Callithrix jacchus: one gene and its partners. The protein of the gene in region 4 purifies or fractionates together with the protein of the main gene of each other region. This does not show direct contact. Links are inferred from orthologs where the notes say so. Each region holds a gene or a part of one and is shown on either strand. Other genes may lie near its edges.

Region 1 (3,500 bases), on a different chromosome or scaffold from region 4:
TTATCTAAGAACCATTAAACAAACCCGGTTTACGTTAACAAATTTGGAATAAATACCTTCAGCACAATTTTCTTCATTTCCTCATCAGGAGATTGGAATTCTCGAATAAGGATTAACATCACTTCTCTAGTATAGTAGTTGGCATATTCTGCATCCATGAGAGGAATAAGATACCCAATAGCCTTTAAGAAAGCAGCTAAACCCTGTTTTTAAATAAAAAATAAATGTAGTTTAGTAATTTAGATTTATGTCACCTTAATGAAGAGAAATCAAAAAGTAATTGGTGGATTTACCTTTCCTCTGTGTTGGCGGATACCCTTCCATAAAGGCTTTAAGACAGAATCAAAAGATTCGATACCATAAGGAGTTGCTGCTTCAGCCAAGGCAGCAATGGCCAAAGCACTGATGGTCCGAACCTTCTGCTGCTCATCCACAAGACCTACAAAACCAAACACAGGTTTTAACTATGCACCAACATTACCTAAGTTATACAATATCATCCAGATTCTTGCACTATATCAACTATTTAGCTAAACTGCAGAATGTGCTCACATTAGACAAAATTAGGTAAAAGCAAATATGAACCACAGCCTGTTAGCAGATAACATCACAAACCCATAAAATATATAGTTTGTACAGTTACGCCCTTCCATTTATCTCCCCAAATCAGTAGCCCAAATTTTAGGACAGCTGTCCTATTAAATGTAGACAGGCTTTTGTGTGTACCTCTAGTCCCAGCTACTCAGGAGGCTGAGGCAGGAGGATCACTTGAGCCCAGAAGTTTGAGTCCAGTCTGGGCAACATAGTAAAGACCTTACCTCTTAAAGAGAAAAAAAAGACAAAGTTACATTGCAACTTACCATGTTCAATGATTTCAACTAAACTTCTAAGATGCGGCAAGATGGCACAGCCCATAAGAATAGCTATCTGTTGTACAATCTTAATACCAGTGTGTCTTGCTTGCCAGGACTTCTTGCTTTTGCACACAGCTTTTAAGAAGGGCAATAAAGAAGGAATGCCCAGGGCAGAGGCCACAACAGCAAAAGCTCGAGCTGTTGTGTTACGGACATACTCATCCATGTTATCTATATCAGGTCTCATGGTAGAGATCATAGTAGCCAGACCAGCAGCCTAAAAAGTAAAGAAAAAAGGAACAGTCATCAGTTGCCAATATTAATGTTCAACCATTTCCTTCCATAATCAAATAATTCCACAAACAGATAAAAATTTTCTTCTCTAGAAATTTAATGTAAATACCTTTGCCAAATTAGAAATGATCTCTCGGCCTTCCACTCTAGCATAGTAATCTTCATCAATCAATAGCGGTTCAATGACCACGAGGATCTGAAAAAGAAAAAAAAAAGAGAAGAAGCTACACTTTGACATCAATTACTGATGTTTTTAAAAAAATAACTTATGGCCAGGTGCGGTGGCTAACACCTGTAATCCCACCACTTTGAGTGGGTGGATCGCCTGAGGTCAGGAGTTCAAGATCAGCCTGGCCAACATGGTGAAACCCCACCTCTACTAAAAATAAAAAAATTATCCAGGCATGGTGGCAGGCGCTTGTAATCCCAGCTACTTGGGAGGGAGAATCGCTTGAACCTGGGAGGTGGAGGTTGCAGTGAACCAAGATTGCGCCACTGCACTCTAGCCTGGGTGACACAGCAAAACTTCGACTCAAAAAAATAATTTATACACCCTATGAACATACTGTACCATAATTACCATCAGTAAAAACACTGGTTCTTAACACTAAATGGCATAATACAGAATCACATATTCTTATCCTAATCTCAATAAAAGCAAATGAAAAAACAGTATGAACCTCTTATGACAAAGGTAACAAAAACTTACATGTGTACATCTGTATGTACATTTATTCTGTATATAATTGTATTTGTACATGTATGACGTGTAGTTGTGCAAAAAAAAAAAGGTCTAGGAGGATATGTAAATTTAACATTAACTGAAAAAGTTAAAATATTAAAGCATCAGGAACACTATTAAGGAGAACAAACCTTATGCACATATGGACGAACCAAGTCATCAAGTTTGTACAGTATCCTGTCAATAACTTTCACAAGTAAATGACGCTCTTGATCCTCAAGTGTAGGAGACATCAGTAGAGGAAGAATCTGATTAAACAAAGGACCAGCTCCAAATTCACGAGCTTTATCAGTAATCTGACGCAACGCAGCCTGGGAAAAAAAGCAGAATAAAAGGTGTGAATGCTTTATAATCAAGCATTTTGAATGCACAAATTACTCAAAGATTTTCTATAATTTAGTATTTTAGTGTATACTTTTACACACATTTTACATAGACTGCATGAGTTCATTTCCTTCCAAATTACTCCGGAATTTGAACTCCTGTGATAGAAATTTTATGTCAATTCATAAGGGTAATTTAATAGAACAAAAGGACCACAGAGCTATGTACTAAATGCTTTCATTTCCCCTAAAGTATCTTCCATTTCCAAGGCACATATAGTATTAATAATTCCTTATATAATTTTAATTATCTTCAAGCTTTAAGCATATTTTAAGGCCTTGAGGGCAAAAAGAGAGTCTCATTTTTCAGCATCTTTATTAGCACAAAATTCTTTGATTAAAAAAGATAGCTCCAGCAGGGCATAGTGGCTCACGCCTGTAATCTAGCACTTTGGGAGACAGAGGCAGGAGGATCGCTTGAGCCCAGGAGTAAGACCAGCCTGGGCAATAAAGTGAGACCCCATCTCTATTTAAATAATAAAAAACGGCGAAGCACAGTGTCTCACACCTGTAATCCCAGCACTTTGGGAGGCCAAGGCAGGTGAACCACTTGAGGCCAGAAGTTCAAGACCAGCCTGGCTAACATGGTGAAACCCTGTCTCTACTAAAAATACAAAAGTCGGCAGGGCGTTGTGGCGCACACCTGTAGTCCCAGCTACTTGGGATGCTGAGGCAGGAGAACTGCTTGAACCCAAGAGGTGGAGGTTGTAGTGAGCCAAGATTGCACACTACACTCCAGCCTGGGCAACAGAGCAAGACCCTGTCTCAAAAGTACATATATATAATAACAACAAGCAAAAAAGTTAAATCCTTCACACTACATACAGTTCTTTCCCTTACACTATGTCCTTGATAAAGATGAAGCAAGAGTAATTATAAATTCCTAAACATAAAAATATAGCACTACCAAAAGTTAATTTCTTTGCAGGCAAGGCTTCCTAAATAACCTTTACCAATTTGGGCTATTTGGGAGAGTAAGGAAAGGCCATACTCCACAGTGGGCTATACCAATAGCTCACTACTATTTTGTGGACTACATTTCCTGGTGAAAAAATTTAAAAATTAAAAACATTTTTAAAAATATAAACATGGCCAGGTTCAGTGGCTTACACCTGTAATCCCAGCACTTTGGGAGGTAGGCCGAGGCAGGAGGATCACTTGAAACCAGCCTGGGCAATTTGGCAAAACCCTGTCTCTACAAAAACTACAAAAATTTGTTTTTAATTA
Region 2 (3,965 bases), on a different chromosome or scaffold from region 4:
CTCCGCCTCCAGGGTTCAAGTGACTCTCCTGCCTCACCCTCCCAAGTAGCTGGGAGTAGCTGGGACTACAGGCGCCCGCCACCACAGCTGGCTAATGCTTGCATTATTAGAGCGATGGGGTTTCGTGAAGTTGGCCAGCCTGGTCTTGAACTCCGAAGTCAGGTGATCCACCCACCTCAGCCTCCTAAAGTGCTGGGGTTACAGGCGTGAGCCACTGTGCCCAGCCTACGAATACAGATTTTCAATCTAGATTTTTATACCCCACCAAATTCCTAACTATGAGGGTAAATAAACTCATTTTCAGACAATCAAGGGCCACCCCCCCCACCAACAAAACAATCATCTATTTCTTCAAAAGCCACCAGAAGTTCTGCTCTGACTCATGGAGAGGACAGGGTGGCCACGCTGGAAACAGAGGCAGGCCCCGGGCAGCAAGGACCGGAAGCTCTGGGGCAACAGCCCCACGTCCAGGGCAGAGCAGAACCAGTCCCACCTGGAGGAGGGGACACGTGAGTCTTGGAGGGAAGTGGTGAGGAGAGACGGATTTATTTAAACCTGTGTGAAATACAACTGATAGGTGTGTGAGATGCTGGAGCTCTGTGAGGAGCTAAACAAACAGGCAGAAGAAAACCAGGCTACGGGGGGAGGCGGGGGCAGGAGAAGCGCCTGAACCCGGGAGGCAGGGGCTGCACAGAGCCGAGATGGCGCCACTGCACTCCAGCCTGGCAACGGAGCAAGACTGTCTCCAAAAAAAAAGCAAAGCAGGCTAATGGTAAAAAGCAACTTGCTCAGCTTTAGGGGAAGAAAGAGTGCAAAACAAAAGCCCAGCTGAACATGTTACTTCTCTCAGCAACCAACAACGTTTTCCATCTTATTTAGAAAACGTAGCCAAGGACCTACTCCCGCTCAGGACAGACGCCCATCCAGGAGGTGGAAGGTGAAGGTGCAGGGGGTGGATGGGAGGGAGGTAGTGTCAACCACCCTGACGTGAAATCAGCAGATCAGTCCAGGAAGACCAGGGCACAGCCTGACCAACATGGCAAAACCCCACCTCTAAAAAAAAAATACAAAAGTTAGCCGAGCCCGGCGTGGTGGCTCACGCCTGTAATCTCAGCACTTTAGGAGGCCGAGGCAGCCGGATTACCTGAGGTCAGGAGCACCACACCAGCCTGGGCAACAACACAAAACCCCGTCTCTACAAAATATACAAAAACTAGGCGGGCATGGTGGTGAGTGTCTGTAGTCCCAGCTACTCAGGAGGCTGAGGCAGGAGCATGGCCTGAGGCTTCAGTGAGCTGTGACTGCACCACTGCACTCCAGCCTGGGTGACAGAGCAAGACCCTGTCTCAAAAAAGACCAGGGAAACCCACTTAAGAATTGAGGAAGGCCAGGGGCGGTGGCTCACACCTATAATCCCAGCACTCCGGGAGACCAAGGCAGGTGGATCACGAGGTCAAGAGATCGAGACCATCCCGGTCAACATGGTGAAACCCCGTCTCTACTAAAAATACAAAAATTAGCTGGGCACGGTGGCGCGTGCCTGTAATCCCAGCTACTCGGGAGGCTGAGGCAGGAGAATTGCCTGAACCCAGGAGGCGGAGGTTGCAGTGAGGCAAGATCGCGCCATTGCACTCCAGCCTGGGTAACAAGAGCGAAACTCCGTCCCCCCCCAAAAAAAAGGAACTGGGGAAAGTCCTGGGGCCTGGGACTGGAACACTGAGCGGATGGGAGTTTTTGGTGGCAACTCCATTCTCTCCTTAAACCTAGCAAACAACCTATTTTCCAGAGCTCCCGTGGCTGTTTGGTGCTGCCCAAGGACACACAGGAGTAACGGTCGCAGGCATCCAGCTGCCTGGGGTGACCTGCAAAATGGGGCCAGCTAAGGTTTTCCGTTCGCCTTGGGCCTGGTGAAGCTGTCACTCCCGTTTTAAAGGAACGGAAGCTGAGAGGAGTTACATCACAGAGCCCCAGTCAACTAACAGGTATAGGTTAGGATGCAGGAGCGCTCTGGGCTACAACAAAGCGGACCCAGACCGTTTCGGCCGCGATCCTGATCCGACCCCTGAGTCTCGGTTGTCTATTTCTTATCTTACGAACCAGGATCTTGCTCTGTTGCCCAGGCTGGAGTGCAGTGGCGCAAGCACAGCTCACTGCAGCCTCGAGCTCCTGGGCTCAAGCGATCTTCCCGCTTCAGCCTCCAGAGTGGCTGGGACTACAGGCGCCCGCCGCCACGCCCGGCTAATTTTTTAAACAATATTTGCAGGGATGGGGGTCTCGCTATGTTGCCCAGGCTGAAGTGCAGTGGTGAGATCATGGCTCACTGCAGTCTCGACATCCTGGGCTCAAGCGATCCTCTCGAGTGGCTGGGACTACAAGCGCCACCACCACTCCTGGCTAGTTTTTAAAAATTTTTTTGTAGAAATGAGGTCTCCATGTTGTACAGGCTGGTCTCGAACTCCTGGCCTCCACCGATCCTCCGGCCGAGGCCTCCCTGAGCGCTGGGATTAGAGGCGTGAGGTCCGGAGTACGGACCCCCCAACAGGTGTTTGGAAATAAGAGTTTCGAGCCAGCCCGCCCAGCGCGGGGCCTCTAGATGCACGAGGCCGGACGCTCAAGGGAGGAGGAAGGGACGCGACCCCGCTGCCCGCCCCTCAGCCCGCGGCCCGTAGCAAGCGCTTCTCTCCCACGTCCGCTCCCCTCCAGGGAACCCCCAGTCCCCGTCGACCGACGCCCTCACCAGAGCCCAAGGCCGCGCTATCGCCACCTTGATCCGCCACCGCCACGATTTCGTTCGGCGCACGCGCGTCGCGGGCAAAAGAAAGCACTTCCGGGGCAGATGGGGCGGGAACTCCCGTGTGCGCATGCCCGGCCCGCCCCGCGGCGCGCGTCGGGAGGTTCGGAGGCGCGAGGGAAAGGGCTGGAGGTGGCGGGTCTGAAAGTGCGGCCTGGAAAACAAAGCGCGCGTGCGCACAACGCTTTCAACGACCCCTGGGTCCGCTGCGGCCGCGCGGGGCCGACTTTCGCGAGAGGGCGGCTGATACTCGGGAGATGTTATCGCTCCCTCCGCCTGCGCCTGGCCGTTCTAAGAAGGGGCGCCAGCCCTCGCGGGGCTGTTTTGATTTTGTTCCACCTTGGTCCGGTGTATTTCAGTTAACTTAGTAACGACGGTCCGTCTCCCCAGCCAACCCTTGCACGCCCCCCCCCCCGGGACGCCAGCGCCACCCTGCGGGGGTGGGTGGCATGGCCGGCCCAAGGCGCGCAGGCGCACTAGCCCCAGCGGTGCTTCCGTGTGTGCGCCCTGGGACCTTTTTGGCGCCGGCCCCGGCGCGAGCGGGGACGGCGGCCGGGAAGGCGTGGCACGGGTTCCCGTTCCCCGCGGAACAATGCGGTACAACGAGAAGGAGCTGCAGGCGCTGTCCCGGCAGCCGGCCGAGATGGCGGCCGAGCTGGGCATGAGGGGCCCCAAGAAGGGCAGCGGTGAGCGGGACCCGGGAGACCGGGACAGTGCTAGGGACTGGAGGCGGGGACCGAGGTCCGGGCCTGGGCGGGAGACCGGGTCCGGGGTTCGGGTGAGGGCGCTGGGGGTGGAGGGTGGGGATCCGGGCGGGGACCGCCTGCGCCCCTGAGCGTGCGCTGTGCTCGCAGTGCTGAAGCGGCGGCTGGTGAAGCTCGTGGTGAATTTCCTCTTCTACTTCCGGACAGACGAGGCCGAGGTAGGGGCGCCCCGGGCGCGCGGGTGGGTGCCAGGCTGCGCCCCGGGGAGGCTGGGCGCTCACCGCCGCGTCCCGGCGCCCGTGTCTCCTGCAGCCCGTCGGAGCCCTGCTGCTGGAGCGCTGCAGAGTCACCCGGGAGGAGCCCGGCACCTTCTCCATCAGTGAGTGCGGCTGGGGAGGCCAGGGGCGCCTCCAGCAGCCCGGGGCACCCGCGGCGCCGCACTGTCCCCTCCCCAGGCGCCCAAGGCCTCC
Region 3 (3,500 bases), on a different chromosome or scaffold from region 4:
TATTTTATTTTTTTGAGATGGAGTTTTGCTCTTGTTGCCCAGGCTGGAGTGCAATGGTGCGATCTCAGCTCACTGCAACCTCTGCCTCCTGGGTTCAAGAGATTCTCCAGCCTCAACCTCCTGAGTAGCTGGGATTACAGACATGCGCCACCATGCCCAGCTAATTTTGTATTTTTAGTAGAGACAGTATTTCACCATGTTGGCCAGTCTAGTCTCGAATTCCCAACCTCAGGCGATCTGCCTGCCTCAGCTTCCCAAAGTGCTGGGATTACAGGCATGAGCCACTGCGCCCAGCCTTGTCCAGAGTCCTGATTGCAGCTCTGTCACATGGTAATTGAGCTTTTAGAGTCCAGAGTAAAAATGCCAGAGCTCAAACCCCAAGCTTGTCACCTCCTAGCTATGTGACCCTGGCCATGTTAACTTCTCTGAGCCTGAGTTTTCTCTTCTATAAAGTGAACATAACAATAGTGACTACGTTATAAGCTACTGGAGATTAAATGAGAAGATGCTGCATATATAATTTCTTAGTGACATTAGGTATACTGACTTATATCACATCAAAGTGTCTCTCAATGCCTATTTAAATGCTATTCCAATTTAAGGTACTTTATAATCTGAAGAACCAAAGTTTTAGGGTCAAATGTGGTTTAAATCTCAGCATAGCTATTTACTAGCTGACAGACCTAGAGTATGTGATTTCATCTTTCTGAGCCTGTTTCTGCTTCTGAAAGATGGGGAAAAAAAACATTTACCTATGGCTTCTTGTGAGGACTAAATTAGGTAAAATGAGGCAACTGTTAAAGGCTTGCTTCTTCTTAGGGCCTTATTAGGCAACCGAAAATGGAAATGTACTTAGAAGCAGCAAGCACGACTGGGCCTTGTCACACAGCAGGCAATTGCCTAACGGTACTTAGCAACCACGTGTTTCCCTTCCCTTTGGAAACACGCAGTCTGTGTTGCACTTAAAGAAATAACTGAACAGAAATCAGGATTTTACATCAAACTGGGATTCATAATGTTTGCTCAGAGGCCCCATGGAGAAGCGATGTCCTTGTAGACAGTGAGTGGACACAGTGCTTCCAAGGGTAAGATGCCTTCCTTCCCTGGGCGCAGGACCCCAGCCCCACCCTGCCCAGGTACCTTGGTGTACTGCTCCACTAGCTTCGTGAAGTAGTTGAAGAGGCTGTGCTGTGGGCGGAGAAAGTCAAACTGGTAGTTGCGCTGCTCTTTCTGCATCAGCTGGGTCAGAAACTGGCGCCCGTTCCTAGCCACAAACTGAGCTGTCAGCTTCACCACATCCAGGTCGAAGGCTGAGATGGAGGGGGGATCAGCAATGAACTCAAACTCAGGAGGAGGCTCTTTGGGCACGATGGTCTCTTGGATTACCTGGGCTTGGACCTAAGATGCAAAGGGAGTATGAGGTGAGAGGCACAGAGGTGGACAGGCTCTAGAGGAGGGGAGGAGGCATGGGCACCCACCCCTCAGCAGGACGGCTATGAACCTCTAGACTTCTGTTGATTATGTATGCACCACTTGCACTTGGTGTGAGAGAATTCTAAATCAGTGCTCTAAGAGCACTGAGTTGCCAGTCAACTATGGCCTCAACTCCATGAATGGCTCCAGTGAGAACCATGCCCCTCTGTATCTCTGCTGCACCTCCCTTGAAATAGAGAGGTAAAACTGGATGACAGAAGATCCAACAAAAATATGGCTTATTAAATCCCATCCAAGGCTGGGCACGGTGGCTCATGCCTATAATCCTAGTACTTTGGGAGGCCGAGGCGAGCAAATCACTTGAGGTCAGGAGTTCGAGACCAGCCTGGCCAACAAAGTGAAACCCCGTCTCTACTAAATATACAAAAATTAGCTGGGTGTGGTAGCAGGCACCTATAATCCCTGCTACTCAGGAGGCTGAGGCAGTTGAATTGCTTGAACCTGGAGGAGGAGGTTGCAGTGAGCCAAGATCATGCCATTGCACTCCAGCCTGGGGTACAAAAGCAAGACTTTGTCTCAAAAAAAAAAACCCATCCAAGAGGGATAGAAGTGCAGTAAGGCCTGTATGTGTGCAGAGAACCCCACTGTACAAAATGTTTCCATGACCTCCGCATGAAGCATGATACAGAACAGGTACTGTGAATCCTCTTTATGGATGAGGAAACCGAGGTAGCCTGAGGCCCTAGGAGTAGTATATTGCAATGCAAGGTCTTAGAACCTGACTTCAGCCTCTTTATCCCACTGCAAAAGGAGGGGCTGTCTTTTCCACCACGGTTCAGGAGTGCAGAAAAGCGAAGGGAACAGCCCAGGTCTGGACAGGAGGAACAACACGCCAGCCTCTCTCTTCATTCATAACCCTAACAGTCCCTAGTGCTGGGCCTCAGCACAGGGAGGGTGGTATTAGGGGAGGGCAGATGGAGGGGTCCTGGGAAGAAGACAGAAGGGAAGGGATCACACAGGCCACATTGCCCTTCAGCACAACCAAGTAGGAAGTCCTTCACACATCATGGCACTGCCCTCACACCCTGAGCAAGGCCTGGAACAAATCCCACTTCCCCCGACTCTCAGATTCCTTTTACAGCCTCTGTGAAGAGTCAGTGAGACAAGACTCCTGAAGTAAAGCGCAGAGCTTGACAAGCAGTGCTCGGGCCACACCAACTATCATCAGTACTTTGCGGTCTGGGCCTCAGCCTGCCTCTGTGAGATGGGGATGATGACCTCACTTCTCTCCCTGGGTGGTTGTGAGGTTTGGATAGCAGAGTTAATTGTGTACCCCCTCCCTATCCCTGCTTCTCTCTCGGCCCTGCGTAAGTGAGGCGGGGTGGGGCTGGGCTCCAAACCTTCTGGGGCAGCTGCTGCTGGGTGGCCTGCTGCTGCTGCTGCATAACTTTTGGGATGGCAGCTGACGGCTCCTGAGCCTTGCCCTCCTTGAACTCGCTGACCTTGTGGCGGTAGTAGGCATGGTAAGGGTCATTGGGGTTCAGAAAGTTGAACTTGGGGTTGTTGATCTCGTTCTGTCGGATCCTAGCTTCAAATTCAGGACCGTTTCTGGAGGGAGGAAAAACAGGAAGATTTAACACCACACCCCTTGTGCCTGCTGAGATCCAGAACACTGCCCATTTGAACACTCTTCTTGCCACCACCCACTGCTCAAACCAGCCCAGCCCTCAGCAGAGCAGACATCCTCCTCCAGCCTCCTGGCATTGACAATCAGTGCCATCTGTCTCATTCAGCCTCAATTAGGCCATTTCTACCACAGGGTCTTCCTGAACTCAGTCATTCCTTAGCTCTTCTTCCAGTTCTGCCATTTCCAAAACCATTTAGGCTATTGCTCATTCCTTTTAATAAAGTTTATTTACTTAGAAAAATCTATTTAAAATGGAGGGTACATATTACCACTTAAATTTTTTTAAAAATCAGTATGCCTTTATCCACAAAAGGTAGTCAAAAGTGAATACAATGCAAATAAAGTAATATTGTCAAAGTTTAGCTCGAAGTTTGCTGAG
Region 4 (4,040 bases):
TATAATACCAATACAGCCATTAAATACTGTATGATCACAATAAGTTCTGCCAGGAGGGGCATAAATAACCCATTTTATTTTTCTATTTTTAAAATTCACATGTAAGTCCTGACATTTCTGATAATACCATACTCACCTTGATTGGCAGGGTACTGTTTATGACCATATGAATCTGTTGCATTCTGAGGACCCTTCTCTTTAAGGTTTTCTTTTGAAGTAGGCATATGCAACACAGGACCATACTCATTACGAAGCTTGATTGCCATTTTTCGTTTGTGACTATTTAGAAATTATAAACATAAGAACATATCCGTAAATACTTTAAAACAAATACTTGGATAGCTTAAGTTTGCCAAATCATGTAGAAAAAGTTTCTAGTAAGATTTTAAGTCATATTTAAAAGATTAAAAAATTTCCAAGTTCATTTTCCCACCATTATCTGTTTTCTTTTGCTCACATTCCACCACACAGCATTCATTAAACCTAATATTTTAGTTCGTTACCAAATAAATACAAAACCTTTTATGATAAATTATCAAGGGTCTGATTGAAAGATATATAGAAACTAACATATCCTTTAAGAAACCTCAAAATCAATATACTTTCCTTCAATATATAAATATAGTAAGAACTTTATAGCAGCCTTTCTATGTTTCTAAACAGGTTAGTCAAAACTAATCAAAATCCTTAACTGGTTCAGTATTTTAGAAAGAAAGGCACTTATATTACTTTTTAAAATTGTCTACTTTATAAATTAAATATAAATGCTTGTTTGAGGAATTCAGTAGATTTTAAAAGGGTAAAGAACAAAGAAGGAACACTGCACATAATGCAATCCCAGACTAGAGCTGGATATGTAGAACCAAAAATGTGCCACCATTCAAAAATCTTTATCATACTAACGAGAAAAGATAGGAGTAGAGGTACTGGCCAGGTACAATTTCAGCTCAGCAAGGCTCTGAGAGCAGCAGGAAGCTGAAAGCACATACAAAGTGATTTATTATAAAATAAAACACCTAAAAGGGGCTCGCTTAATTACTGGGCATTTATAAAATGCAATTAATTAATGGAACTTTTACTGTAAAAGGCAAAAAAAAAAGTTAAATCAGCTTAAATTATGCCAAAATACCACTCATTATTGAATAATTAGGCCATGAGTATTACTAACTTATCTTTAAAGGTCTCCCTCTCCCTGTTCTCTTTGCCCAATATTAAAATGTTAAATATTTCAGCAACTGGAAAAAAAAAAAAAACAAAAACAAAATCTATACCTACCTCTCTTCATCTAAAGGCACAGGTTTTCCATTATCAGCTACAAACATGTCATGGGTCCTCTTCAACGACCTGAACACAAGTGTGTGTACAGAATGTTTCTGTACCTCCTAAAAAGAAAGAATGCAATTACACACCTACCTATAAATTAAACAAATCATAACATAACGTCAGATTGGTTATACACTTTACATGTTTAAAAATGTAAAAAGCTTTATACACTCATCATAGCTACTAGTTGCAAGCTACAGGAGTCAAGTTCAGAAAAGAGGAAGCTCCTCTTTGGCTAGAAACTCAGGTATAGCAACTGAGTGATGCCTGAGTTTAGTCATTTATTTAACAAATATTTATTGAGCTCTGGCAGGTGTTGTGCTAGAATCTCACAACAAAATGATAAAAAGGTGGTCATGGTCCCTGTGCTCAGGAGGAAACAGTAAAAAGTAAAATAATTCCACATTTTGATAAGTGCTATGAAGGCAACAAGCAAGGTGCTGAGTCAGAGTACGAAGGACTAAGTATAATTGTAAAAGATTTCACTAAGATGATATTTAAGCAGAAAGGGAGTTAGCTTTGCACAAACAGAAGTTAAAACGAACCAGGCTGACAGAAATATTATGTAAAAAGGTGTTCAGTTAACTGAAATAAAACAAGGAGCACAGTACAGCTGTATATGGTGGGTGAGAAGGTGCTTTGTGGTTGCAAGGGTACACAAGGTCCAGATTAGGTAAGGCCTTTTAGACCATTACAACAACCTAATATTTTGTGTTCCAGCAACATAGGGTCAGTAAAGGGTTTTAAGCAAGAAAGGTATGAACAACTTACGTTTTAAACAGAACTTATAGAACAAAATGGAAACAAGGAAACCAGTCCAGGTGAAGGATGCGGTTGGTCTGAATTAAGGTGGACTGCAGTGGTTACAGAGAAGAGTTGATGGAATCAATAAATATATGGGGTAAGATGGACAAGACCAGCTAACAGAGCGGCTGTTCAAGGCAGGGAAAGATGTAAAGAATGGCAAGATTTTCTGGGGGTAGAGATGAAATAAGAGAAGAACCTGAACGCAAGATAAAGAAGGCCGCCAGTCTTTTAGGGCACAGAATCACTGACACTGCCCCGAGGGCGGCGAGTACCAGTGGTCGAACACCAACAGAGGCCCCGCCTCCAAGGACAGTGTCCAGCCCCCAAGAGTCAAACGGGGACTGAACGATTTATCTCAGGCTTCGCGCCCGGATTGAACTTCTGACTCGGGTTCTCATCCGGTTTCTCCCCCTTCCCCGAAAACCTGAAAAAGAGACCACCCGGCCTTGGCCAAATAGCTCCCCTCGTAGCCTCTTTTCTCTCCGGACTCCAAGCACTCTCAATCCCCCACGCCCACTGCCAAAGAAAAACAGTCCAGAGGCAAACGGTTCTTGAGAGCACCAGTGTCACTTTACCTCGACCATGATGCTGCCGTATATCCCACCTCTGGCAGCGACGAAACCCTAATCACTAACGCAGTACCCGCCGCCACAACTGTGCGGCACCTTCCGGAATTGGGCACCCAGGCGGCGGATGTGACGCAACTCTGCGCACGCGCGCTGGTTTCCCCCGGCCATCTGGGATCGGGAGGCGGATCTTCCTCCTCGGGACCGCCTCTAGGGCGGAGTCTCGAAGCTGAGGAGCGGAGACTCCTTGAAGCGCCTGACCGGAGGGTTTCACTCGCACCTCTGAGGAAATCTTACAATTTGTTTTCTTCCTTATCCTCAGCCTTAAATGTTTTGATTGGGGTCCTGGTTGTTCGTGCTGTTTTGCTTGGGGTCCTGATTGTTCGTGCTGTATTACCCGGTAGCTTAATGCTTTTTATTCAGGGAACCTCAGCGTCTGGAGAGCAAACTCCCGTGGGCTCTAAGTCACTTGCACTGCCTTGATCTCTTTGGAGGTCGCCGACGTGGTTTGTCTGCTGGTTCCAGTCCTGGCGAGAAGCACTTGAACACTGTTGTAGGCTTAACGCCTGAAAACAATTTCGCTTAAACAGTCCAGTAAACACTTGTTGAGTGAATGTTGCGGAATAGTTGTTTTAATTTGGAGATTTTTCATATGTAGATATACAAAATAATTTTAACAGTGTAAAACCCCACATTTATTTTCTGCTAATAGGTTGGTTTTTTTTTTTTAGTTTCTCAAAACTGTGTAGCTCTTGGCCATTTCCTAGTTGTCTGCTGATTATTGGGCTTCAACAATGCCAGGATACAGCGTTTCAAAGCTGGTTGAAGAAAGGCACAATTGGAGACTTTAGCCATTTTTATTTTTACATATCCTTGTGCCAAGTATTGATATTTTTGCTTTCTACCCTGGTAAAATCTGCGGTTTGTGGTCAATCCTACCCAATTATTTTTCTATGTAAAATGAAAAATTGATGGACTTGGGCATTTGCAAGCTTAAATAGACAAACACCTTACTGGCCCTGTTTCAGTTTCACTGATCCTGTCCCCAGAGCATACTACATACACTTCGAAAGGAAAAAAAAAAAAAGACCTAGCAAAAGAATAGCAATGTAAATCGATGACCTCACTTGGAAATTTAAAACATTAAGGTCATGGTGGATTTTTGTTTTGTTTTGTTTTGTTTTCGAGATAGAATTTCGCTCTTGTCGCCCAGGCTGGAGTGCAATGGCACGATATTGACTCATTGCAACCTCTGCCTTGCAGGTTCAAGGGATTCTCCTGCCTCAGCCTCCCGAAGAGCTGGGATTCCATCTATGCACCACCACGCCTGGCTAATTTTTGTAT
Region 5 (3,500 bases), on a different chromosome or scaffold from region 4:
AACAGTTTGCTTATACCAGTTTCGCATTAGGCATAGAGATGGGTGCTGAGGACCATGTGACTACGACACTTCCTGTCTGCACGTACCTTTTAGTCTCACTAGGAAGACAGATGCATATGAGCTGATGGCATGAACCAGAATAAAACCACAGCCATGAGGGCCAAGAATAGTAGGTGGAGAGAACTGTGGGGATGTACAGCAGGCAGGGTGGAGAGTGTGGCATGGTTTGTTCAAACTTACAGTATCTGTTCTGTGACACTTGGAGTCTAAGCTGGAACAGTCAGGATTGAGGCTAGACCGATGGGGCCCAGGCTGGACACCTGGGCTTGACTACACTGGTGCTGGGCTCAGCTTTTCCAGGAGAAGCTATCATCACAGAACAGTGCTGTCTCCACCTGGCCATAGATGCCATGCCCTGATTTGGGCCTGGATAGGCTGCCCGTGTCCTTCCCACTCATCTACCCAAGAATGAGGACCTCCCAACACTTTCACTCCCTCTCCAAGCCTTGATGGGACCTCTCCCACTTACTTTAGGCCTCATGTGCTTTGAAAAAGCTTTGAGAGCCAATGTGGTGTCTTCCATGGGTCGCCTCTCTTTGCTGCAAGTAATCAGCCCCACGTATTCTCTTAAACTGAGACTTGCACCTGGGCAATTCCTGTTTCCTAAGGTCTCTTAGTAGTAGTAGTAGTCAAGGCTGGACCCATGGGATCAAGGCTAACCCAAAGGGGCCAAGGCTAGGCCAGTCAGGACTGAGGCTCGACCATTGGAGCCAAGGCTGGACCCATTATGGGTGGAAGGTAAAGTCGAACCCAAAAGGACCAGGACTGGACCATTGGGACTGAGGCTAGACCACTGTAGTCAAGGCTGTGTTCTTGTGGGTCAAAGCTAACCCAGAAAGTCCAAAGATGGTCTAGTCAGGCTGGACCCATAGGGGGTTAAGCGCCTAACCCAATGGGGCTGATGCTAGACCAGTAGGAACCAGGGCTGGACCAGTGGGGCTGAGGCTGGTTTGACAGGGCTTGCTTTTGTCCAAGACAGTGGTAAATGGGTGGGGGGCGCCCCAGAGCCACTGAATTTTGGGATGTGGGTGTGGCCCTGCCACCTCACTGACTGCCAGAGAGGTGGGTCGGTCCCCAGCTGAGTCCTGAGAGCGCAGAGGAGTACATCGAGTACCTCAAGTCAAGTGACCGGCTGGATGAAGCTGCACAGCGCCTGGCCACAGTGGTGAACGACGAGCGTTTCGTGTCCAAGGCCGGCAAGTCCAACTACCAGGTGGGCCTCCCGGGAACCGGGAGCTGGGTGGGAGGGCTGCCTGCTCTGTGACTGAGCTCGAGACTCCTTCCACCCCATGCCCTGCAGCTGTGGCACGAGCTGTGCGACCTCATCTCCCAGAACCCGGACAAGGTCCAGTCCCTCAACGTGGACGCCATCATCCGTGGGGGCCTCACCCGCTTCACTGACCAACTGGGCAAACTCTGGTGTTCACTCGCCGACTACTACATCCGCAGCGGCCACTTTGAGAAGGTGCACACCGGCGCGTGGGGCTCTGGGTTCAGGCCGGGGACTCCTGACACTCGGGGGCATACATTGACACACGCACAGGCAGAAAATGTGCCATGTGTGGCCAGGTGTGGTGGTGCACGCCTATAATCCCAGCACTTTGGGAGGCCGAGCGGGGGCGGATCACTTGAGGTCAGCAGTTCAAGACCAGCCTGGCCAACATGGTGAAACCCCGTCTCTACTAAAAATGCAAAAATTTGCTGGGCATGGTGGTGGGCACCTGTAATTACAGCTACTGAGGAGGCTGAGGCAGGAGAATCACTTGAACCTGGAAAGTGGAGGTTGCAGTGAGCTGAGATCACAGCACTGCACTCTAGTCTAGGCAGCAGAGTGAAACACTATCTCAAAAAGAAAGAAAGAAAACAGTCCAGGGGTGGTGGCTCATGCCAGTATTCCCAGCACTTAGGGAGGCTGAGGCGGGTGGACCACAAGGTCAGCCTGGCTGAGGCAGGAGTTCAAGATCAGCCTGGCCAAGATAGTGAAACCCTGTCTCTACCAAAATTACAAAAATTAGCCAGGCGTGGCAGGCGCCTGTAATCCCAGGTACTTGGGAGGCTGAGGCAGGCAGGAGGCAGAGGTTGCAGTGAGCTGAGATGGCGCCACTGCACTCCAGCCTGGGCAACAAGAGGGAGACTCCATCTCAAAAAAAAAAAAAAAAAAGGAAAAGAAAACATAGTATTTGTGACAGACATGCATGTCCCTGCACACAATTGCCATCCGAGTGAGTGGAGGGGGCGATTCCTTCCCGCAAGCACACCAACCCTAGAGTCAGCCAGACTTGCGCTCAAAGTTTCCCCTCTGGCTGTGTGGCTTTGCCCCTACTAAGGATGGAGGTCCTCATTTTTTTTTTTTTTTTTTTTTGAGACGGAGTTTCACTGTTGTTACCCAGACTGGAGTGCAATGGCACCATCTCGGCTCACTACAACCTCCGTCTCCTGGGTTCAAGCAATTCTCCTACCTCAGCCTCCCGAGTAGCTGGGACTACAGGTGCGCACCACCATGCCCAGCTAATTTTTATATTTTTAGTAGAGACGGGGTTTCACCTTGTTGACCAGGATGGTCTCGATCTCTTGACCTCGTGATCCACCAGCCTCGGCCTCCCAAAGTGCTGACATTATAGGCATGAGCCACTGCACCCAGCCTGATGTCCTCATTTGTAAAATCAAGGTGGCAGTCCCTCCCTGTCACCAGTCAGCACGGTGATGTAGGCAGAGCACTGAGTAGGTACCTCATGTGAGGGCCAGTCCCTCAGGGGTCAGCTGACTATGGCTCTTGTCAGGCATTGGAGCAGGAAGCTCTGGGGCAGTGGGAGCAGAATGGGGCTGGAGCCAAGAGCAGGGAATCACAGGAACCGAGAGACAATAGGTTGGGAGCCTTTTGAGCCAAAGAGGGGCTGGCAATGCTGCTGACTGGGGTCCACCAGTGGAGTGGGAGCAGGCATGCATTTCCCAGCGCTCCTTCCAGGGACATGTGTATGCCAAGGCTGTCAGAGGCAGCAGGGTAAGACCCGTCAGGGCTGGGTAAAGAGGGGGGGCCTGAGCTGGGGTCGGTGAGCAGCAGGGGGATGGGTGAACTAGGGAAGAGGGTCAGGCAGGGGAGAGGGGCGCTTTGGAGCAAAGTCTGAGCTCTCCGAGGATGAGCTGAGGTGAGGGTCCCTGCAGGGTGGACCCATAGGCGCTGGGGGGTTTTGGCTACCTGTTGGGTGCCGAGTGCTTCACACACATGTCTCAGTCAAGCCTTGAGGTCACTGCACAGAGGGCAGTCACCCGGTTTACTGAGGAGGTCCCAGGATCACCCCAGCAGCGTAGGGGGTGAGAAGACTTGACTCCGAGGCTCTGTGCTGGGATCACTGCCCAGAGGTGCTGCGGGGGGGCCTGGAAGGCCCTCAGGGGTTGCAGAGTGGGGCTGCTGCTGAGGGTGCTGCTGCCTGTCCCCTGTG
Region 6 (4,006 bases), on a different chromosome or scaffold from region 4:
AAGTTCATACAGCCAATCACCTGGGTGGTGCTAGCACACAGTCTGGCTTCAGAGTCCATGCCCTTGGCCCCTGTGCCATACTGCCTTTTGTAAGTGTAACTTTTATTTTTCTCTCCAAGCTTTTGCTTATGTTGTTTCTCCTTCTGGAACGTCTTTCGTTCTCCTGCTCTTCTATCTGAATACTGCCCATCTGTCAAAGTTCCTCTTGCTTACACATCCTGTTCGTCCCGCCCTTTTGTCTGGATACCTTTTAGTCCACACCACATGTCCTTTGCATGATTTCTGAGAGTATATTATCTTACAGATATCTGCAAAGAATCATACACTATCTGAGCTGGAAGAGAAATAGCAAATATAAAATAAATTTATAGGAGGCCATTGGTTTGGACTGAGATCTTGCACTAGGCCCAACATACCAAGCCAATAAGAGTTAGTCCTGCTGAAGTTCCATGCTAATGAGCTGAAACGGGGATCTTTATGATCTTCTGAGTAGGAGAGAGAAATTGAGGGAAAGAGGGAAAAAGGTGTGGGAGAGAGAGAAAATAGCCAAATTCCGAAACAGGCTAGTTTTAGATGGCATGATAAGGAAGTTCCCTCCACTTTAACCTTTACAGGAAAAGTAATTTTGACATGACCAAACGACCAATCTGCTTTTTTTGTCTCTGGTTCTGTTTTCCTCAGTCCTTTTCGGTCTATAAATACAAGCTTGCCTGTTCAGCTCATTGGACTAATCATTATATTTTATAGTGAGGAGCGCCGCCCAGTTCTACAGAATTGCACCTGTAATCCCAGCTACTCTGGAGGCTGAGCAGAAGGATCACTTGAACCCAGGAGTTCCAGGATGTAGTACGCTGTGATTGCACCTGTGAATAGCCACTGCGTTCCAGCCTGGGCAACATTGCCAGTCTCTTTAAAAAAAAAAATTAAACTAAACTTTAAATTTGTTGTGATTTTGTCTTTTGACAAAGATGAAAGGGCAGGGAAGTCAATGTGAATTGCCCCAAATCACACTTGTCAAAACAAGTGCTGTCCAACTGATTTGGTTTTAAATTCTCACTGCATCATGGGAAATGTAGTTTCGAGTCTCCTCTCTCCCGACGTCCCCGCCACTCTGCCGGCGCTTTACGGAACGAGCCGAGTCAATCCGGAAATAACCGAGTGTTCGCGGCTGGCCTTTTCCTGCCCGGCTGCATTCTGGGAAAGGGCAATTTCCGTTAGGTGCTGAAGGCTGTGGCGCGCGGCTGTTCCCATTCCCACGTGAAGCGCTACGCTAGCATCGCTCTGCGAGCGGCTCCCAGCTTGCCGCCGAGCAGTCCCGGCAGAAGCGGGGGACCGGAAGTGGCTCGCGGAGGCTCAGAAACTAGTGCCGGAGGCTCAGAAACTAGTCCCGGAGTCCGGCGTGTGGCGTCTCGGAGCGCGGCGAAGGCGCCATGTCCCTGATCTGCTCCAGTGAGTGTTTACTGCGACCGAGCGCGGGTCGCAGGAGGCCGGAGAGCGGCGCGGGACCGTGTGCGGGCCGCTGCGGCGCTCGGGCCGGGGTGGAGGCGGTTATGGGGCGCCCGGGAGGCATAGTGGAGGCCTGTCAACCTCGCAGCCCTCCCCTCGGAGCGGGATGCGTTTGCGCAGTGCTCCGCAGTTTACATAGTGCCTGAGGTTTATTGCCGCAGGCATTACTGAGGCCAATCGCCTTGTTCTACAGAGTGGAAACAGCCTGGACAGAGAGAACTGGTGCAGGGGAAACAGCCTTGATGTAGGAGTTTGGAAACTCCAGGGTCCGCCTCCCGTTGGCTTTGTGAATTGGCTTAAGGCTCTGGGCCCTGGTTTCCCCATCTGCAAAATTGAGGAGCATTGCACTGGTTGTTTTGCGAGGTCTCGCTCGGATGGTCGGAGCTTTTGCAATTTGCAAAGGTCACATGATGAGTTAGAGGCAGAGGCAAGGCTGGCAGCCAGGTTTCTGGCTCTCGGCCTTACACTGTATGACTGATAAAAACAGTCGCACATTTATAAAGCCCTTATTGGTTTACAACGCGCTTCCAAGTCTATGATCTCATTTTATCCTCACAAGAATTCCCTAAAGGAGAAATAAAGATCCTGGTTTTGCAGATGAGGATGCAAGGCTCAGGAAGAGCCGGGGCTTATCTAAGGATGCGTAGTCAGTCAGTGTCAGAGCTGGGTGACGTAGTTAGCTGACATGGAGCTTGGACCCTGAATCCATGCCTTTTCCATACCTTCCACTGCCTTTCCCTTTGATATTTTATCATGACGTTCAGACGTTTCCCTTTAACTTTTCGTTGTTTCATCAGATTACTCGTTTCCCTTCCCTTTTGCTATTCATTTCCTTCTCTTCTCAGAACCTGTACATTGATCCAAAGAGGGGGAAGAAGGAAGGGAAATGATGGAAAAGGATCCCTCACAGTGAAGAAATTACAGCTCGCAAAGTACTTTCACATTCATTGTTTCCTTCCAATCTTGGAGAAGCTTTCTTTTACGTTCCCCAGGACCGTCCTTCCTGGCATGGTTCACTCATTTGTTAGATGTTTACCGAGTGCCCATAGGGCATCTGCATTATATTGGAAGGGAGAGACCAGCTGTAATCCTTATCCTCAAGGGGTGCACAGACTACGCTGGCAAGCGTGTAAATGATACCTCTCTTGCGGGTTGTTGTGAGGACGAATTCCTGTACGGTATGCTTAGAATTGTGCTTGGCAGTGTAATGTGCCATGTAAATATTTTTATTCTAGTGATTGCCACTTTGCTCCTTGGAATATTCCAGGTGATAAATGTCTGTCTGTATGCTCATCAGTTGACTAGTAGCTGGCAGACCCTCAGTAGCTTCAGGATGAGGACTAGTCACCAAGAAAGACCAAGGAGGTATTAGAAGGTTGGGATTTTCAGTCCTACCCCTCACTTAACCTGGGTAAGGAGAGGAGCTGGAGGTTAAGTTGGTCAGCAGTGACCAATGATTTAATGAATCATGCCTTTGTAATGAAGCTTTCATGAAAATCCAAAAGGACAGGATTCAAAGAGCTTCTGTATAGCAGAACATATGGAGGTCCCTGTAGGGTGGGGCGCCCAGGGAGGGCGTTGGAAGCTCTGTACCCTTCTCCCATACCTCCTCCTATGCACCTCTTCGTCCGTATCCTTTGTAATATCCTTTATAATAAACTGGTAAATGGAAGTGTTTTCCACAATGCCATGAGTCACTGTTGCAAATTAATTGAACCCAAAAAGGGGGTCATGGGACCCTGATTTACTGCCGGTTGATCAGACGAACAGGTCAAACAACATGGGAATCACAGTTGGCGTCTGAAGGGGCAGGGGAGTCTCGTGGGACTAAGTCCTCAACCCGTGTGATCTGACGCTGTCTCCAGGTACCTGGTGTCAGAATTGAATTGGAGGACACCCAGACGGTCACATCCGAGGTCACAGAAATATTTTGTTTTGTGACAGAATAGGAGAGACTGAGTTTGTTATTCCTATGTTCTCAGACTTCATAATTTCTTTGATAATCCCTCTGGAGCTATAGACTAAGATGGATGGCAGGCATTAGAATAGCTTCATGTGTATCTCCAGGTCATGGAGTAAACTGTATTCATAGATCATTGTTCAAAAATGAGAGGGGCGGGGATATTGAGTGCTGTTCTCTAGGTGCTTGGCACATAGTAGTTGTTAATGATTATTTGTTGACTGATTGTCAGGAGACTAATGGAGAAGCTAGTTCCATAGCTGGAAAGCATTCTGGGGCCAGTACAGAACTGGCTTAGGGTCAGATGTCTTGCTTCCTGCTAGTTGATTGTGAGGATGCTTAGTCTTGTTGGGCGTAACAGCAAGATTGCCTTCACTCCAAGCTCACTGCCGGCCTTTTCTCTACAGTCTCTAATGAAGTGCCGGAGCACCCATGTGTGTCCCCTGTCTCTAATCATGTTTATGAGCGGCGGCTCATTGAGAAGTACATTGCAGAGAATGGCACTGACCCCATCAACAACCAGCCTCTCTCCGAGGAGCA

Evidence for each region.
Region 1: the proteins of PLRG1 (region 4) and SF3B1 purify together in Homo sapiens (co-immunoprecipitation; 3 studies listed by BioGRID and IntAct, with this or other methods). This does not show direct contact. The link is inferred for Callithrix jacchus from reciprocal best matches to the Homo sapiens genes PLRG1 and SF3B1.
Region 2: the proteins of PLRG1 (region 4) and SF3A2 purify together in Homo sapiens (affinity purification with mass spectrometry; 3 studies listed by BioGRID and IntAct, with this or other methods). This does not show direct contact. The link is inferred for Callithrix jacchus from reciprocal best matches to the Homo sapiens genes PLRG1 and SF3A2.
Region 3: the proteins of PLRG1 (region 4) and SF3A1 fractionate together in Homo sapiens (co-fractionation; 3 studies listed by BioGRID and IntAct, with this or other methods). This does not show direct contact. The link is inferred for Callithrix jacchus from reciprocal best matches to the Homo sapiens genes PLRG1 and SF3A1.
Region 5: the proteins of PLRG1 (region 4) and XAB2 purify together in Homo sapiens (affinity purification with mass spectrometry; 3 studies listed by BioGRID and IntAct, counting the BioPlex papers as one, with this or other methods). This does not show direct contact. The link is inferred for Callithrix jacchus from reciprocal best matches to the Homo sapiens genes PLRG1 and XAB2.
Region 6: the proteins of PLRG1 (region 4) and PRPF19 purify together in Homo sapiens (affinity purification with mass spectrometry; 8 studies listed by BioGRID and IntAct, counting the BioPlex papers as one, with this or other methods). This does not show direct contact. The link is inferred for Callithrix jacchus from reciprocal best matches to the Homo sapiens genes PLRG1 and PRPF19.

What each region holds. Positions count from the first base shown.
Region 1 is NC_133507.1:118,366,983-118,370,482, forward strand, and holds part of SF3B1 (splicing factor 3B subunit 1), read right to left. Parts: intron 3,314-3,500; exon of another isoform or gene 3,177-3,313; intron 2,202-3,176; coding exon 2,022-2,201; intron 1,345-2,021; coding exon 1,258-1,344; intron 1,132-1,257; coding exon 861-1,131; intron 440-860; coding exon 294-439; intron 204-293; coding exon 57-203; intron 1-56. UniProt on the Homo sapiens protein: Component of the 17S U2 SnRNP complex of the spliceosome, a large ribonucleoprotein complex that removes introns from transcribed pre-mRNAs.
Region 2 is NC_133523.1:2,116,813-2,120,777, reverse strand, and holds the start of SF3A2 (splicing factor 3A subunit 2), read right to left. Parts: upstream 2,801-3,965; 5' UTR 2,738-2,800; intron 1-2,737. Other genes in the region: PLEKHJ1 (pleckstrin homology domain-containing family J member 1), read left to right, coding at 3,384-3,477, 3,646-3,713, 3,808-3,965. UniProt on the Homo sapiens protein: Component of the 17S U2 SnRNP complex of the spliceosome, a large ribonucleoprotein complex that removes introns from transcribed pre-mRNAs.
Region 3 is NC_133502.1:200,944,707-200,948,206, forward strand, and holds part of SF3A1 (splicing factor 3A subunit 1), read right to left. Parts: intron 3,043-3,500; coding exon 2,835-3,042; intron 1,399-2,834; coding exon 1,141-1,398; intron 1-1,140. UniProt on the Homo sapiens protein: Component of the 17S U2 SnRNP complex of the spliceosome, a large ribonucleoprotein complex that removes introns from transcribed pre-mRNAs.
Region 4 is NC_133504.1:42,068,296-42,072,335, reverse strand, and holds the start of PLRG1 (pleiotropic regulator 1), read right to left. Parts: upstream 2,801-4,040; 5' UTR 2,715-2,800; coding exon 2,706-2,714; intron 1,383-2,705; coding exon 1,276-1,382; intron 280-1,275; coding exon 137-279; intron 1-136. UniProt on the Homo sapiens protein: Involved in pre-mRNA splicing as component of the spliceosome. Component of the PRP19-CDC5L complex that forms an integral part of the spliceosome and is required for activating pre-mRNA splicing.
Region 5 is NC_133523.1:7,204,675-7,208,174, reverse strand, and holds part of XAB2 (pre-mRNA-splicing factor SYF1), read left to right. Parts: intron 1-1,138; coding exon 1,139-1,273; intron 1,274-1,360; coding exon 1,361-1,525; intron 1,526-3,500. UniProt on the Homo sapiens protein: Involved in pre-mRNA splicing as component of the spliceosome. Involved in transcription-coupled repair (TCR), transcription and pre-mRNA splicing.
Region 6 is NC_133511.1:117,927,757-117,931,762, reverse strand, and holds the start of PRPF19 (pre-mRNA-processing factor 19), read left to right. Parts: upstream 1-1,206; 5' UTR 1,207-1,430; coding exon 1,431-1,449; intron 1,450-2,351; exon of another isoform or gene 2,352-2,438; intron 2,439-3,873; coding exon 3,874-4,006. UniProt on the Homo sapiens protein: Ubiquitin-protein ligase which is a core component of several complexes mainly involved pre-mRNA splicing and DNA repair. Required for pre-mRNA splicing as component of the spliceosome.